Rattus norvegicus: one gene and its partner. The protein of the gene in region 2 purifies or fractionates together with the protein of the main gene of each other region. This does not show direct contact. Links are inferred from orthologs where the notes say so. Each region holds a gene or a part of one and is shown on either strand. Other genes may lie near its edges. The genes, in order: Emc4 and Por.

Region 1 (4,608 bases), on a different chromosome or scaffold from region 2:
ATCTTTCCTAAGACACAATTTAGCAAGTTACACAGTGAAGATTCTTGGGGTAAAGGAATAAATTTCCTGGCTTACTCCCTGAGGACAAAGTAACTGTGATTTATAGTTTAAGCTATCATATAAGGAGAAAATACTTTAAGTAGAATTATGTGATTCTAATGTTTTTAAAACATGTTCGTTCAAAATTTATTAGCACATGAGTACCCTAAGAATTAGACATTACCTAAAAACTATTACTTAATACAATATTAACATTTATTTTTTGTTTAACATATGTATAATTGTAACCTATTTCTACTGTGGCATATTTAATTACAACTTTTTAAACCAACAGTTTTGCTTTCCATGGCTTAGGTTATTTGCATGTAGTGATCCTAGTTTCAACTGTGTTTCACAAACTTTAAATGGAAAATTCTATATTAATGTTTTAAGTTGCACTGTTCTGAATGGCATGGTAAAATCTCATGCTCTCCACCACTCCGCTACTCTGGATGTAACTCATAACTTTCTCTTCTCTGCACACAGAACTGCAAACTGGAAAACGATGTGGAGGTGGCCATCTTCAATGTGTTTAGATCACCGTTATCTCTAAGAGTCAAAACTCTCAGTTGCCCAAGGAGGCATTTTCAGCCAGATCCTCAACCACTCTTTCACCATAGCCCTTTCCTCTAAACTCCAGCCATAATAAACAACTTGGGAATAATATTAATAAAGGTAAATAAAAGAAATAAAGAAAACTACTGTTTTTGAACTGATAATTTAAAAAGTAGGCATTTAAAATAATAATTCTTTAAAAATGTACATACTCTTTGGTGTAGCAATTCCACTCCTAATTCAATAGGTGCCTTAAATGATTTTCATACTAACACTGAATTACAAAAGGGGTGAGACGGTGGAAACAATTTCCCAATAATAGGCTAAATTACAATATAGACAAGTCATTGGATAGAAGTTTCATTTTCCAGGAATGATAATGAATGACGAATGATAAAAAGAATTAGGTCTAGGTTCCAGGTCCTATTTAATCTCACAACAAAATTAGGCGACTATCGATCTTTTTGCATGAGGCAGGTGGAGCAATGAATTTAACCTAGTTGAGGTGGCACGGTAAGTAGTGAAAGTCCTTAACAGACCAGTTAAATCCTGAACCCACTTGTCTTTCCATTCCTGGCGCCTACCTCGTTGGGTTAGTTTGCGAACAAAATGAAAAAAAAAACATTTAAACAAGAACAACAACAAAACAAATATATAGCTGTGCAACACGTCGACACATAGTACTCAGAGGCTGAATAACTCGCTCAAGGTCACCCAATTCCGGATGACCCCAGAATTAAAACAGGATTTCAATTTCGTGCTCTTCTTGGCTTCCATTCTTGTCATTTCGGACTTTTCCAGCTCCGTGATGCATACCTAAGAGACAAGAGCACAAATGAGAGGTGTATTCGCAGAGAGGTTCCAGAAAGCTAGTCTTCTGGGTCGTTTTGAGGATTTTCTAAATCCAGATACTCTTCCTTCTGACAGAAAGTTTCCGAGGGACGCGTGACGTTAACATTATGCGCCGGAAGTGCACTGCGGCGAAAGCAAGGAAGTCGGACCGCTTGCGATCTCCGCTAGTTCTTAGGAGCCGAACTCAGCGGCAGGAGGGTGACCGCACTTTTAACCAGCGGCTGCTGTCATGACGACCCAGGGGGGCCTGGTGGCCAACCGAGGCCGGCGGTTCAAATGGGCCATTGAGCTGAGTGGACCGGGAGGAGGGAGCAGGTGAGTTTCTTAAGCTCGATGTCTTACCCTTACCCTAGAACGACCCGAGATCCAGGGAACTAGGGCCTCAGGTATAAGTCTCCGACACGAGTGGGTGGCACACACATGTTACCCGAGGAACTCTTGTGCTGTGGAAGTTATTTTTCCCCAAGGATCTTTTAGTTTTTACCAATGAGCTGAAAACTGAAGAATGCACGAGAGGATCTAATTTACATCTGAAGTTCTTTCTGTGGTCGATAGGGCTGAAAACCCGTGCTTGGGAAGTCGTAGTTTTAGTCTCTTGATTTGGTTTGGTTCTTTAGGGGCCGAAGTGACCGGGGCAGTGGACAGGGAGACTCACTCTATCCAGTCGGTTACTTGGACAAGCAAGTGCCTGATACCAGCGTGCAAGAGACCGACCGGATCCTGGTGGAGAAGGTACAGAGGTATTAGATGTAACTGTAGCATTTGGACCAGTCCTGTCTCACCTTACTCTCTGGAGTAGAGGTAAAGCAGCTGGTCACTACCTGAGTGTTTGAGAGCCACAATGCTTAAGATTTATATTACAGTATCTTACATATATGTTCCCTGACATAATTTCAGTGTGTCGGGATATTGTGTTACTTTTACCTTCAAAACATCCCAATCCTGCTATCATTTCTTACTGCCTTCAACTGTTACATCACCAGCAGTAGACTAATAATCGATCAACTGTCCCTCCATCCCTCTATTTAAAATAAAGCATGGTTTCTCAACCTCAGTACTGTTTTCTATTTGGGGGCAAGTACTTCTTTTGCGGGGGAGAATTATGTTGGGTACTTACTGTAAGATGTTTTAGTACTCCTGATCTCTACACATTAGGTACCATTATGTTATTCCATTATTGTGTGAACTAAAGATGTTTCCAGCATTACCAGATGTTTTTCAGGCGGTCTAAAGAGGTACACTTTGATGAGCTTTAGCAGTGTATACCTGTGATGAAACTGCTCGCTTTGAAAGAGACCTATATTCAAGTGTCCCCCTTCTCAATTTCTCAGTATCCCTTCCTGTATAGAGTTCTAATGTGTCTTGTTATGTTCTACCTTGTCCTCCCTGTAGTCTCCAAGCACAGCCATCAAAAATGATCCCTTTAAAAGATGCCAGGTCATCCCTACTCAAAATCAGTCTAAAATTCCATGCTCATTCAGCATTAACACCAAGTCTTTTTAGTATTAGACATAACTCTGCATGTACCAGGGAGTCTGTTCCCTGTAGCATCTGTGGCCTGTCTACCATTTTTACATTTGTTTACTCTAGTCATAATGATTTCCTTGTTGCTATGTAAGGATACCAGATAAATTCCCCTTGCCTGCCTTTTGTGTGTGTTCTCTATTCGTAGAATGCTTTTCCTCTGGATTCCTTCCTAACTGGCTTAGTTCTTCTTTGGGGTCTCTCTAATATTATAGTCAAGACTTTTCCTGTGCTGCTGTTTCATTTGTATGTTATGGACATATCACATGGCTTATGCTAGTTACCATCTTAGTACTCTTGTAGACTAGATTAGCAGGAATTTTACAGCAGAAGTGTGTCCCAAGGGTTTAGAGGGGTCCTTGATATTTTCCTTCCTTTTTATACTTCCCTCCCAGCCTTAATATTGCTGAATAAACAATTTTTATTCCATGGAATGCATAATTTATATACATGGCTATTTTTACATAGATTTATACTTTGTTAGGATTAAGTTTTTCTTTTAGATTTATTTTATACATTGCTGTGTGTTAGATTTATTTTATACACATCAGTGTTTTGTCTGTACATATGTGTATTGTGTATGCCTAGAGCTTTCAGAGGTTAGAAGGAGGTATTGGATCCCCCAGCACTAGAGCTGTGGATCATTGTGAGCCACCATGTAGGTGCTGGGAACCAAGCATTGGTCCCTTGAATAAGCAACAAATACTGTTAAACACAGAGTCCTCTCTCCAGGGCCTTTGCTAGGAGTTTACATTAGATTCATAGGTAACATTCATTTTGTATATATAAATATACATGCAAACACACATTTCTCATGACAGTCTTTTTTTTTTTTTGGTTCTTTTTTTCGGAGCTGGGGACCGAACCCAGGGCCTTGCGCTTCCTAGGTAAGCGCTCTACCACTGAGCTAAATCCCCAGCCCCTCATGACAGTCTTTTAAGGCTTGAGTATTTCTGGAATTTGAATTTTTAGTTTTGTTTCCTTCCAAAGGAGTTTGTGTGAGACTTGTATTTTTAGCTTTAAATGATTAGAATTTGCCAAGGGAAGTGATGATTTGGGCTTAATAATAGATAGAGTCAGCCTTGCTAACTGCCATGGGATTCTTTTTCCTTTTTCTTACGCAATTTAAGTCATGTTTCTAGGAATGTATCCATTTCCTAAATTTTCAAATAGTCAAAGAGTTTAGAATATGGCGAGTGTGATGTCTGCAGGATCTATAAAGCTGCCTCCTTTCCTCTGGACATGGAAGAGTTTTCATGTCTAACTTGTCAGGTTTACCAGAATTGAATTTACAGTCCTGCAAAAAGACAACCTTATCTTTGTAATCGCTTATTTTTTTTTTTTTTCAAAATCCTTTAGTTTGTTCTTTGTCTGACTTTCATGAAATAGACGCTGAGTGTTCTCACACATTCTTAAGATCATGGATTTCTAGCTAGGAATGGTATGGTGGTGCCTATCTACAATCCTATTAGCTTTGGAGGATGTTATAAAAAAGATCTCAAGTTGGAGTTCAACCTGGACATACCAAGATCTTGTCTCAAGTAACAAAAAGATTATAAATTTCTCAAAACTTGCTGGGCAGTGGTGGCACACACCTTTAATCTCGGCACTTAGGAGGTAGAAGCAGGCAGATTTCCG
Region 2 (4,599 bases):
CAGAAGTGTATGGAAAGACAAGTTCTACGCTATAGCGCATGTCTAAGAAATGAGAGTGAGGATCTGGCAAGCTGGAGCCTACCCCTGTACACCCAACACATGGCTGAGGAAGGAGGATTTGAGGCCAGACTAGGTTCTATAAGTAGTTCTGGGCCAGCCAGGGCTACTTAGCAAGACCTTGTCACAAAAACAAATTAAAAACAAAACAAACAAAAAAACCCAATGAAAAGGTATTTTCTGTCTCTAAGATACAAATTATCTGTTTCTTTTACAAAGAAACAAACATTAAATATGTAGTAAGACATACAAGATGGTATGTGTACTCTGTGGTGCTTTGTGAGATTGTATCTTTTTGGTTTTCTTCTTTTGAGAGGAGCTCTTGAGTGGGTTGTTCAACATGTCTAGCAAAGTTTATAATGTAAAGGGGAGAAGGAAGAACAGAGTCCCGAGGGTGGGCCTATGAAGGAATGTACTCAACAGACAATAGGTACCCGTATAAAAATCAATGAAGAAATAAACTAAGGAAAGTTACATCTCACTGAGATGAGGCCCACAGGCCTGGCCTGATGTGGCAAGTGCTTACACAGCAGGCCTCTCCAATGACAAAGAGGATGACAACTGGGTTAGCTCTCACAAAGAGGGGACATCCCTAAGAACTAGATTCTGTATGCAGGTGGCTCTAGTCCTAGCACTTAGGAGGCAGAGGCAGGAGGATTGGGAATTCAAGGTCAGCCCGGGACACCTGAGACCCTCATCTCAGAACAACCAGAGTTAATATTGCAATGTTGAAATGCCTCATGGACTTAGTAAGTAAATGTTTGGCTCCTGGCAGGGAGGAAGTTCTTCTCAAACAGACTCTCTGCTAAGTACACAGAGACTTTCCTAACGAATGAAGATCCTGACTTTCAAGGAGTTAACCACCCAGAATGAACAGGCCTACAATTTTAGGTTTATCAGACCACAGACATCTCTCGGGGATGTTCATTTATAAACTCCTACTATCAGGATGTCTTCACTTGAGGCGTCCTGGCTACCACAAGCCTGTGACTTCCAGGTACCAAAGTCCATCTCTGGAATCTTCTATAGTCTACACCTACCTCTTCCTTTCTCAAATGCCAGATGTGAGGGCAATAAGATAATATTCCATCCTCTCCAGTGTGGGCCTGTTTTCTGGCCACTTTCTGACAATGATTGAGCAACGTGTTCAATGAAACCAATTCCAGTATCAGAGGGTATGAAAGTTAAGAGCCACTCACTTTCCAAAGAAAATGTGAACTTCTTAAAGGAGCCACTGGAATAACAACAAAAGCAAGGTGGACCATTCTGTGTTCACTGGTTTTAGTATTTGGGTTTTCTGAGCTGTTTTTTCCACTAGCAGCCAAGTCAGAGATCAACATTCAGGGGGGATCTGTGAGGGAAGAGTTTATGTGTGGTTAATGAACCAAAGTTCCAGACAGCTTCAGGAATTACTGCCCTGTGTAATAAGAACAAATCTCCAGGGTTAGATAACCACTTGGCTTACAAAGACCAGCCCAGTTCTCAATACCACTAGCCAGGATCACAGCCTCTTTCCTCTCCTCAGTTTTACTGATATAGTAGTCTCAATACGCAGCCCTGACTTGGCACTTGCTGACCTTGAACTCAAGCAATCCTCCTGCTTCAACCTCCTAAGTACTGGAACAGCTCCAGGATTATCTCTTGTCCTCAAAATGTCACAACCCTAGTCAGGCCAGGTGGCACACACTTACAATTTCTGTACTCAGGAGGCTGAGACAGAATCAATCTGTTCAAGGGCTACAAAAAAAAAAGGTACAGGCCAGCCTAGGCTCCATACAAAACCTTGTCTCACACACACACACACACACACACACACACACACACACACACACACCCCTAAGGGTCGGGAAGCTGACAGACCAGAGGCTCAAAGAACTTATGTGTTCTGCCAAGGTGGTAAAACTCGAACTCAGGGCCACCCCCACCAGTTGAGTCTCCCTTTGTGTTTTCATTATTCCGGCAGCATGGTCAGGTTCAGAGCGAACCACTTAGTTGGATGGGTCCATAGCAAACACACATCACTTTCACTGAAATGTCCCTGAAATCCTCTGTCCCGGTCCGGTCACTAGCTTACACAATGCTGAATCGTCTTGAGAAAAGAAAATGAGATAGAAGGAAAAAGCCAATCCAGGTTAAGTTCCCTGGAAGATGCCCTGCTCCTGCTGCTCAGCAGACCACAACCTCTCACCCAGTGGCTCCCAAGAGCTCAGCTTGTCACTGCTGCTCAAGCGAACGGGACAAAGGTGTGTCGTAGGCACTGTCCCAGGAGGGGGACTGCCTCAGGGATGCACGCAGGGTGACACCTCCACTGAGTCCACCTGATTGTTCCGGGTCCTATTCGCCCTCATGGAGCTCATTCTAAAGTGAGTGGTCTTCGTAATCTGCTGCCCAAAAGTCCCGTCGCACAGGTGGGGAAACTGAGGCTTGAAGAGGGAATGTTGCTTTGCCTGACAGGAGTCCTGAGGACCGAATCTTTGGCCGCAGATGCAAAGATCCGACCCTCAGATGAAGGCAGTTATGGGGAGAACGACCCTCTATACGCCCCGCGACAGGTTAGGTCGTGGTGGGAAACGCCACCACGGGAGAAGGGCCGAGGTGCGAAGTCTCGCCTTCCGCAAGGGTGAGTCGCGCGGAGATCGGCCCAAAAACCCTCCCGGGAGTCACAAACCGGATAGTCTTAGCGACAAGAGGTGACCCGGTATCGCGGAGCTCCCCTGAGGTCTCCCATTCCTCACTTACCCTGCGCTCTCCGGTACCGACCAGATCACCCACGGCCCGCGGTCCTGTAGGTCTCTGAGGCAGTGGGGCCGGACGCAAGCCCGCACCACTGAGGCGCTACCACCGACCAGAAGGCTGCGGGGGTGAGGCGTGGCTAACACCGCCGAGGTCCCGCCCACAAAAGCCGCGCGCGCGCTCTTGAGGCAGGCCCTCTTTCTTTTGCTCCCCTTCTAAATCCCTGCTGTTGGTACAGCCCTGGTGGGCCCCGCCCCTAAGCCCAGCTCTCAGTTCCTAGGTCACGCCCTTCATCCGCTCCACGGAAAAGGCACGCCTCGCAGCCCGGCGGCGCCCAGTTCAGATGCTCAGTTTCTAGGCCACGCCCCTCTTCTCTCCTCAGAGAAGCCCCGCCCCCAAGCCTAGCACCGATTCTGGGCCACGCCCCCCTCTCCTCTCAAAGAAGCTCCGCCCATTCCTGGGCTTGGATCCTAGTTTTGGCTACCCGCCTGCACAGCTCTGACCGACGTTTGTGCTTGCGTGACCCTGCCTTGCCCCTTGGCAGCCTAGCTTGGTCTCTTGGGTCAATGCTGGGTCGTGGCTGTGCGCCACCTCGTGTTTCGACCTGCTGCTGGCCTCAGCTCACCTGTGATCTCATGTCTTTTGTCAGCTGAAAATGGTGAGGCCCATAGAGGCACCGCTGGTCCCCGGGGGTACCCACTGAGATTTGAAAACTAACCTGTTTAAGGAAGAGAAGTGGCTAGGGGAAAGGCGAAGGCAATAGTATTTGGAAATCTGGCTACCAGCAGTCATGCTTGATGCCTCTCCATCCCAACGCTCGGAAGATTGAAACAGGAGAATAAGCCTCAAGTACTGAGTCTGAGGCCAGCCTTAGCTACTTACGAGTAACTCTCAAAAAAAAAAAAAAATCAAAAGAAGAAAAGAGTCGGTTGTATTGGAGTTATAATCCCACCTCTAACCCCCGGGAGGTTTGGGGTAACAGGAGCATAAGGTCTGGGGGGCAGAACCTTTGTTCTAAACAGCTTTATCTTTATGGCTATTACTATTATTAGTAAACGTTCTTGAGTCATCAAGATGGCTCTCTGAGTAAAGGGGCTTGCCGTTCAGCCTGGCTCGGTCTATGCCCAGGACAAACAAGGAAGAAGAGAACTGATTCCCTCTGATTGTCTTCTGGCACATGCGTGCCCCTTGCACATGCACAAATAAATAAATGCATTTAAAATAAGTTGTTAACATTCTGCCATGGCCCAGCCTTGGGGAGGCAGAACCAGGTGGATCTCTAAGTGTTCAGGGCCAGCCTGGTCTACATAGAGCACTCTAGGCCAATCAAGGCTGCATACATAGTGAGACACTGTCTCTGAAGAAGAGCAGGAGGAGGAAGAGGAGGAGGAAGAGGAAGAGGAGGAGGAAGAGAATGAGGAAGAGGAGAAAAAGGAAGAAGAGAAAGAGGAAGGGTAAGAGGAAGAAGAGGAGGAAGAAAAGAAGGCAATTCTGCTACAAATTCCTCTTGGACCAGTGAGCAAGTTCTCTCAGAAACCATTCTCTATATTTATTAATTAATACATAATCATTCATTCATATATTATAGCTTTATTTTCCTATTCAAGACCAAGCCTTTTGTAGCACAAAAGACAGGCCTTGAACTCCTTAGAAACATGCTCTACCATATCTGGCCTTTTCCCCATGTTTAAAAGCAGGAACTAGCCTGTGAGTTGCCTCAGCAAGTAAAGGCACTTGCTAAGTTGTGATTTGACACACACACACACACACACACACACACATACACTCATACATACACACACACATACA

The links.
Region 1: the proteins of Por (region 2) and Emc4 purify together in Homo sapiens (affinity purification with mass spectrometry; 3 studies listed by BioGRID and IntAct, with this or other methods). This does not show direct contact. The link is inferred for Rattus norvegicus from reciprocal best matches to the Homo sapiens genes POR and EMC4.

The regions. Positions count from the first base shown.
Region 1 is NC_086021.1:119,626,063-119,630,670, reverse strand, and holds the start of Emc4 (ER membrane protein complex subunit 4), read left to right. Parts: upstream 1-1,552; 5' UTR 1,553-1,675; coding exon 1,676-1,761; intron 1,762-2,063; coding exon 2,064-2,178; coding exon of another isoform or gene 2,179-2,186; intron 2,187-4,608. UniProt on the Homo sapiens protein: Part of the endoplasmic reticulum membrane protein complex (EMC) that enables the energy-independent insertion into endoplasmic reticulum membranes of newly synthesized membrane proteins.
Region 2 is NC_086030.1:26,632,953-26,637,551, forward strand, and holds the start of Por (NADPH--cytochrome P450 reductase), read right to left. Parts: upstream 2,858-4,599; 5' UTR 2,797-2,857; intron 1-2,796. UniProt on the Homo sapiens protein: This enzyme is required for electron transfer from NADP to cytochrome P450 in microsomes. It can also provide electron transfer to heme oxygenase and cytochrome B5.